2 linked regions of the Tribolium castaneum genome follow. The main gene of each other region encodes a partner of the protein of the gene in region 2 in a complex. Links are inferred from orthologs where the notes say so. Each region holds a gene or a part of one and is shown on either strand. Other genes may lie near its edges. The genes, in order: protein-L-histidine N-pros-methyltransferase and Catsup.

Region 1 (3,830 bases), on a different chromosome or scaffold from region 2:
GACTGCCTTGTTATTCGCCAAATTGAAAAGTTCGCTTAGAGGAGACGTGAAAGGTTCGCACCGTTCGGTAATTAAAACTTATTTTCTTAAAACATTGCTGCACGACTCTTCAATTATTCCAATTCATTGTCTGTGCGTTTTGAGACATTTTAGAGCGAATTTTGAAATGGTTGTAATTATAGTACTATCAGACAATCACGTACTAAATCCTCCACGGTTCATCGCACAGGATCTTGGGGTATCGACATTATGACCTCTAATACCCGACAATTCAGAAATTTATATCTTCAAGCACCCATCATCCATAAATCTTCCTAACTGTTGCAAATTTTTCGCTTTCAGTGGTACCACTGCGACTTATCAAAAATCCCTCTTGACCTGTCATCGAAATTCATCGAGTTGGGACCAGACGACGAAACCATCAAATTTCTTCAACAATCTGAAGAAAAATCCGACTGGATTCTGACTCAAATTTGGCACTCGGTCGTCAAAGCCTTCCTGGGCTGGTTCATGACTCAGACATCCATCAATGGGTGAGTCTTAATTTAATTACTTGACACAATAGCTTTCGAGTAAAAAAACCTTCCATTGAAAAATGTTTGTTCATTAACAACTATAATAGAAGGCTTGTCTAACTTTTACCTGACTGTCATTCTGAGCATAACTAATTATATAATTAGGTTTTTTTGTTGTGCGGTCGACAGTCATTAGGTCCCTCGAAGGAAAAAATTCTAGTCGATAATTATCGTCACAGTGTCGAAAAAGTGTAATTATGAAAAATTGACCAGATGTTAGAGGGAAAAGGGGAAATTAATTTTTTGCGCGAACTTAAATTCGTGATAAATTGATACAACACAGAGTACAAAATCGGGCGGCGGCGGCGGCCCTTGTCACAGCTGCCGAGTTTAGATATACGAGAGATTATAACAAAAGTTTTTTATCGAGAGAATTAGAACGAATTCCTTTTGCTTTGTTGTTTAATTAACAGATTTCCGAGAAGACGACTGATTAACGATTTTAATCTTTGTAATTATCTCGAGATGGTCGAACGAGAGACATTTTTGCAAGAATTAATGGAGATGTCGCGCATTTTTATTCGCTCGGATTGAATTTTTAATTATCACTTTTGTTGCGCTTTGCTGGGCAAAGAAGTGACTAAGGAAGCCCAGCAAATCCGAAGAAGAAAACAACAAAGATCAAGGAAAAATGCTACTTAAATTCAAGAGCTTTTTTTAAATTTTTCCTGACTTTTGTGACACTATTGCGTAATAAAAAATTTCGATGGAGAGAATACTGATTCAATGGTATTCCCTATTATAGAAAAGCAAATTATTTTTAACTGCCACACTTAGTCCTTTCTCGTGAGATGTCTTTGCGCTGGTTTAATCCAAGACACGAAGCAATCTGCACGAAATGCGTTGTCAAACTTCCTCGCATGAATCCTGACAGGTTAATTAAAATAAAGTCTGAAAAAACTTGTACCGAAAATTGATAAAACTCTATCGAAAAATTGTGTTTCGTGCTATTTTTTCGTTTTGACGTTGGTTCCTTTGTGTCGGTTGCAATTCGGTTGAAATACTTAATTAAAATTGCAATTCTTTGGTCGAATTAATCGGCGCTTTTTTTCCCGCCTCGGTCTCGGGAGAGAATTCCGCGCTTTTATTTGTGCGATTTTTAACACGGCGACGGCTCTTTTAAAAAAGAGAAGCAGCTTAATAATCCGCGGTACTTATAGAATTATGCATGGGCACTTTTTTTGTCGGGTAACTATTTCGACGCAGCTTCGCCATGTTTAATGAGAAGAAGACAGGACTGCCAGACGGCGAGATCCTGAATTAATTCGTCGCATTAATCTTACCGACCGCCATAACTAACCTACACAAAGGGCTGTCGGAATTGTTCAGCGAGAATTGCATTAATGCTAATTCGCGGACACTGGACTATCACTTGTTAGAACATAAACGGCGAAAAAGAGCGCCGACACCAACCGAAATGGAAAAAATTGTATGCGCACACCTCGAATTGCCATAAAGTGAATTATGTATGGACTGCTTTTTATTCACTTGTTTTACGCAGCGGTAAAACAAATGACTCGAAGAGACGCTAAGCGAGGGGACGAAAGCAGAACCATGCGGGACACGCACAATTAAAAAAATCATTCAAAAATCCCCTCCTCACCAATGGCTAAAAATATTTAAACATATTATTATCAAAACAAAAATATTTCAATATTATTATGAAATCAAAAATATTTCAATATATTTTCAAATAAGTAATCTCGAAAATCTGTTTTTTGATTTAACAGAAACTACCCAGTCAAAATTTTTGTGAGAAAATTGGACGCACGTTATCTCACTTCATAGACACAATTTTTTTCTTTTTTTGTGGAAAACTAGAAGTTTTGTTAAAAAATTATGCTCACGTTTTCAAAATCTTTATGTTTATGGCTTTTGTATGCAATTTTGTTCTTCGAAAGCGTTTATTAACGAATACATCAGGATACAGTGTCTTGTATCTAAAGCCAGTGCTCTTGATTATCAAATTTCTATCTTCATTTGTTCTGGTGATACAAGGCTAGCTTAATTTTTTTAATAGCAAGAAGGGTCACATGCAATATTTTTAAAAATAGTATTTTTTCTGAGTTCTGTGATGTAACACATGCATTTAAAAAAATAACGAACTAATAAAATTTTGTGAACTTTGGAAATGTTGTCTTCATCGAACATTAGCTCTTTGCCGCCTGAACTTTGACCAAAAAATAAGTTAAAGTCAAAAATAATTGTTAAAATAACAATTTTGACTAAAAAAAATATTTAGCTAGCAACCCTGATTTTGGAAATTTTCTTCAGTTTTAGTTTAAAAATTGTGCCACTTTTAAAACAACTTCCTCACATGCGGTGCACCTAGACAAGAATATTAAAGAACAATGGTGTTATCGATCTACAGTATTGAAAATACTAAATAATTTTAAAAAATGTGGTTCTAACGTAAAAGTTCAGAAAACCTAAGAATTTCAATTTCCTGGGACAAAGACTTATTTAATTAAAATTTAACCTGAAATTTTGGTTTAATTTGAGCTGCTCGGTGAGTGGAAGCGTTAATAAAGCGCAGGTCACACACACGTCGTCGTCATTATAAAATTATTAAAGAATGACAATTTAAAAACAGGAAGATGTGTTTTGTACGCTTTTTACCTTGCAATCATAAGCACATTACCTCAGGCATGGGCCGCAATTATAACCATATGTCCGATGGGCCCGTCATTAGGGCTGGGAAATCACCAATTAGAAAAATTAACAAAACATCGCATTGTGTCTGACATTCTTCAAAAGCGCGCTTTTATTATGTATGTACTCTCCGGGTTTTTTGCTTCGGAACGATTAAAAGGATTTTTTCCGGTCGAGGCGGCCGCGATGATCTTACACATGTTTACTCATTCGGGTAAAATCATGAGAAAAAAGACGTTTTCATCGTTTAATTGTGTTCGAATTTTACGGAACGAGACGGCCGAGCATAACAAATGGAGCTCTCTTGTTCGAGCTTTTCACCGGAGAAAATGATAGAGAGACAAAAAGTTTAATTAATATTTACTTAATATGGATTGGGTTTAAAAGTAAATTAGTGATAATTAGGCTGGTTTTTGTATGGGTGAAATTTATTCGGAAATTGAACCTTAATTCCATTGCCATGGTAGTGAATTAATGATTTTAATTGTGGGTTCGTGAGTTGGCAGCTCTGTCAATTAAACAATAGGGCAGAAAAGATCCGGTAGTACTAATTAAGTTTAGCGTAATTAAATCATTTAGGGGAAAGTGGCTTCTGTTGGACCG
Region 2 (3,484 bases):
GGCGGTTTGGACCAAAAAGACTTGAAGGTCATTCATATTAGTTTAAAACTGGCGCGAATTTCGCAGTTGAAGGCGGAAATTGAAAAAGCCGACCTTGGGTACAAGTGGTGTCTTGAACAAATAGAGACACAGAAAAATGACAGTGTTGACGCTCAAATGCTATATGGGGTTATTCAGGACTGGTATTCCCAGTTTTTGCTAGACGTTGGGGACGTTAAGCAGGCTTTAATCCATTTGAGAGAGGCTTACAATGCGTGTAAAAGAACCAAAGGGAGGAATAGCGAACAAAGCATGTTGCTTTTGAATGACTTAGGGACTACCAGTTTTCGCGCTGGTGATATTGATAATGCTCAGGGGTACTTAAAGGAGGCTATTACAGTGGGGCGCGAGGTCGAAGACAAGTCGCACTTGGGGGTAATCCACGCAAACTTAGGTTTAATTCTTTTAGAAAAAGGCGTAGCTAAGGAGGCAGAAAAGTATTGTAAGGAGGCGTGGAAGTTGGGTAAATATCGACAAGGTTGCCGACTCCTATCTCGTGATTTTTTTTCAGGGAAAAAATTCGAAAACAACGAATCAGTTGAACAAGCAAACTACTGTTTTGACCAAATTAAATTGGTTTTAGGAAAATAATATTTATTGTAAAGGCGTACTCTAAGTACAAAGGAAACAATAAAACCGTTACATATTTAGGTATTCATTCATACTCTGCGATCAAAACCATCATAAACACTCCCCCTAACAGGGCAGCCACTTGGAAAACAGTCTGTTTAAAACTGGGTTTCTCTTCATCTAACAATTCAGGAATCACAGACACCAACGCTATGTAAATAAAGCCCCCGGCCGTGAAGGGGAGGATCCACTGGGTGGCCATGAGGCTGTTTTGCGCCAGAAGCGAAATCGCAGTCCCCAACAGCGCCCCCAGAGCAGTAGTCAATTGCAACAACATCGCATTTTTCCTCGACACCCCCGACTGGAGCAGAATGGCAAAGTCCCCAATTTCATGCGGGACCTCATGTAGTAAAATCGTGATCGTTGTAACCAACCCTACGGTATTCCCCGCCAAATAACTCGACCCTATTGCCAAACCATCGGTGAAATTGTGACTAAAATCGGCGGCTAAATTCAAATAACCCGCCACTTTAATTTCCTTTGGCTCGACTTTCTTTGCCTTGTCGCCCCCCGACTTGGCTTTCTCCTTCTTCTCATCGTTCTTCTTGTGGTGGCTGTGCCCGTGGCCCCCTTTGGCAATCCTCACGATTTTCTCCACCAAGAGGAACGTGACGATACCAGCCAACACCCACAGCCCCACTGACATGTCGTGCCCGTGTTCGTGATCGTGGGAATGTGAGTGCGAATGGGGGCTGTCGACTGACATAGCCGCGTGCGGGATTAAATGCAAGAAGGCGTCGCCCAGCAGCCCCCCGGACGCGAACGCCAGTAGGACTTTCAGGAGAGGCTGTTCCCGGTCGGTGCTGTCAAGCGGCACGCAAAATAGGATGAAGAAGGGGGCTGCACTGATGAGGAGCGTCGACCCCATGGCTTGCAGCCATAGTTCGGAGGTAGTAGTGTGATGTTGAGGTTCGGGGGGTTGGTACTTTTCGTTAGCGGCTTTCGAGTACTTGAATGAGGGGGCTTCATCATGTGAGTGGCCGTGCTCGTGCCCCCATGAGAAACAAACGACGAGCAGAATTAAAACTAACCGTAAATTCGACATTGCGGAATGTGGAGACTTAAATACGTGATTTGGGACTGAATGTGGGTATTAACACTTGAATTAACCGGCGGGGGCACACATCATCATCAAAAAAACATATTTTCTGTCAAAATGTCACTGCTGTCAAAGAATTGTCAAAGCATGTCAAAGGAAAAGTCAGTAGTAAGGCGCCAGAGGACGCTCCATGATTTTTATTTTACCAGTTTATTTTAATTTAATTTAATTATCACTATAATTACTTATAAATGATTGATTTACTTAATGCTAAGGTCAAGTTGTAGCTTCAAGTACTTTCTTTATGCGACCAATCATAAACTTAAGTTTAAGTCTGGTTTAAGCTATAAATTTCAATAGGCAACCACCAATACAGATTGTTATCAATTTTAAAAAAAATCGTACCAAGAAACTTACAAAATCGAATTATGTCATCATCCTCAACTATGATGATATGAAATATGATAAGGATTAATACATTTTGGATACAGTAATCAAAATCCATCAAAAACTGATAAGAACCGACAAGTAGCACAACTTAAAAATGTTTGATAGCAAACAAATTACTGAGTTTTTTCTCTTCTGTAATGACATCATACAGACAATCGGTGATAACAAAAGATCGATACAAAATAGCAAAATTAAAATTACGTTAAGTCAGGTAAGGAGGAATATGGACATACAAATATAATTAAAAAAAAAAGATAAGAACATCAAGTGGAACATTAAACCGTTTGATGGCAATCAAACGAAAAAATCAGCCAAGAGTAGGGTACTCAATAAATTAACGATTTTTCTCGTGTCCAGATAAATAAATGACTAATTTAAAGTACCGACCCAAAATTACAAAATAAAAAATAATAAGATCAAAGGGGATTTTTTCGTCACAATTGGTAAATTCCAGCAAACACAATAAAACAAACTATTTTTCCTAGATAACTGCATTCCTTGATTTCTACATATTGATAATAAAATGACGACAACCGGATAAAGCGAAATTGTTATTATAATTTTATCTCAGGTGTATCATCATTTTAGGATGTTGAAGCTCATAAAAAAAACACTTTTGTGGTCGAAATCGAGTTCAAAGTCAACGAAGAACGAAAACAAACAAACGTATCAAAATCGTGCCATTTACGCATTTTTGTGGCACGTTCAGAGTGACTCATTTGTGACCTAGGACATTACGTTCAATTCAAGGCGACGCTGTTTTTACCTTATAATTTTTCCAATGTAAGAAAAATTAAATATTTCATTGTGTCGTCTAATTGATCGTTTACAAGTGTTTTATTAATTATTGCTTCAAGCGGCAATAAAATGGTGCAAATTGCAATTTTATAATATAAGACCCGAAATCTTATCTTAAACAATGAGTACGTCGTGATAAGAAAACGATACCTACAGTCAGATATTTCCAACTCAAACACGCACGAAGGCTGCAATTGCGTGTTTGTTATTCAAGTTTGCCGAGCGTGTAATAAACGAGTGGAGTGAACAAATTTTAACAAAAAAATCGAAATTATTTATTGCGCCCTTTCGCAATGACACTGAAAAACAATAACTAATCTAATCAGGACAATTCACGTTCGAGGAATTTTTCTCTACAATAAACTACTTCACGTAAGTAATCGCTCGGTATTTGGCGCACGATAATCGCGACCGAAATGTGCTCAAGACTGTTTGGCAAGAGCAAAACTTACGTCATCCAAGACAAATTCAACAACGTTCCCAAGCCGCCAACACAAAATGGAACCACTCGAAAGCCAAGAGCACCTC

What was found.
Region 1: the proteins of Catsup (region 2) and protein-L-histidine N-pros-methyltransferase are in contact, whole or in part, in a crystal structure (PDB 8GZE), measured with the Homo sapiens proteins. The link is inferred for Tribolium castaneum from reciprocal best matches to the Homo sapiens genes SLC39A7 and METTL9. Residues at the interface, in NP_001070984.1 of Homo sapiens: Gly65, His66, Thr67, His68, Glu69; in NP_057109.3 of Homo sapiens: Arg114, Thr115, Asn118, Arg123, Gly124, Met126, Met179, Asn210, Asp213, Arg214, Val241, His245, Tyr247, Glu249, Trp255, Tyr295, Leu296, Cys297, Glu298, Asp300, Tyr306, Val307, Leu308.

Annotation. Positions count from the first base shown.
Region 1 is NC_087394.1:24,614,837-24,618,666, forward strand, and holds part of protein-L-histidine N-pros-methyltransferase, read left to right. Parts: intron 1-342; coding exon 343-533; intron 534-3,830. UniProt on the Homo sapiens protein: Protein-histidine N-methyltransferase that specifically catalyzes 1-methylhistidine (pros-methylhistidine) methylation of target proteins.
Region 2 is NC_087398.1:6,545,984-6,549,467, reverse strand, and holds Catsup (protein catecholamines up), read right to left. Parts: upstream 1,853-3,484; 5' UTR 1,715-1,852; coding exon 695-1,714; 3' UTR 631-694; downstream 1-630. Other genes in the region: Ttc19 (tetratricopeptide repeat protein 19 homolog, mitochondrial), read left to right, coding at 1-502, 551-630; cGMP-dependent protein kinase 1, read left to right, coding at 3,373-3,484. UniProt on the Homo sapiens protein: Transports Zn(2+) from the endoplasmic reticulum (ER)/Golgi apparatus to the cytosol, playing an essential role in the regulation of cytosolic zinc levels.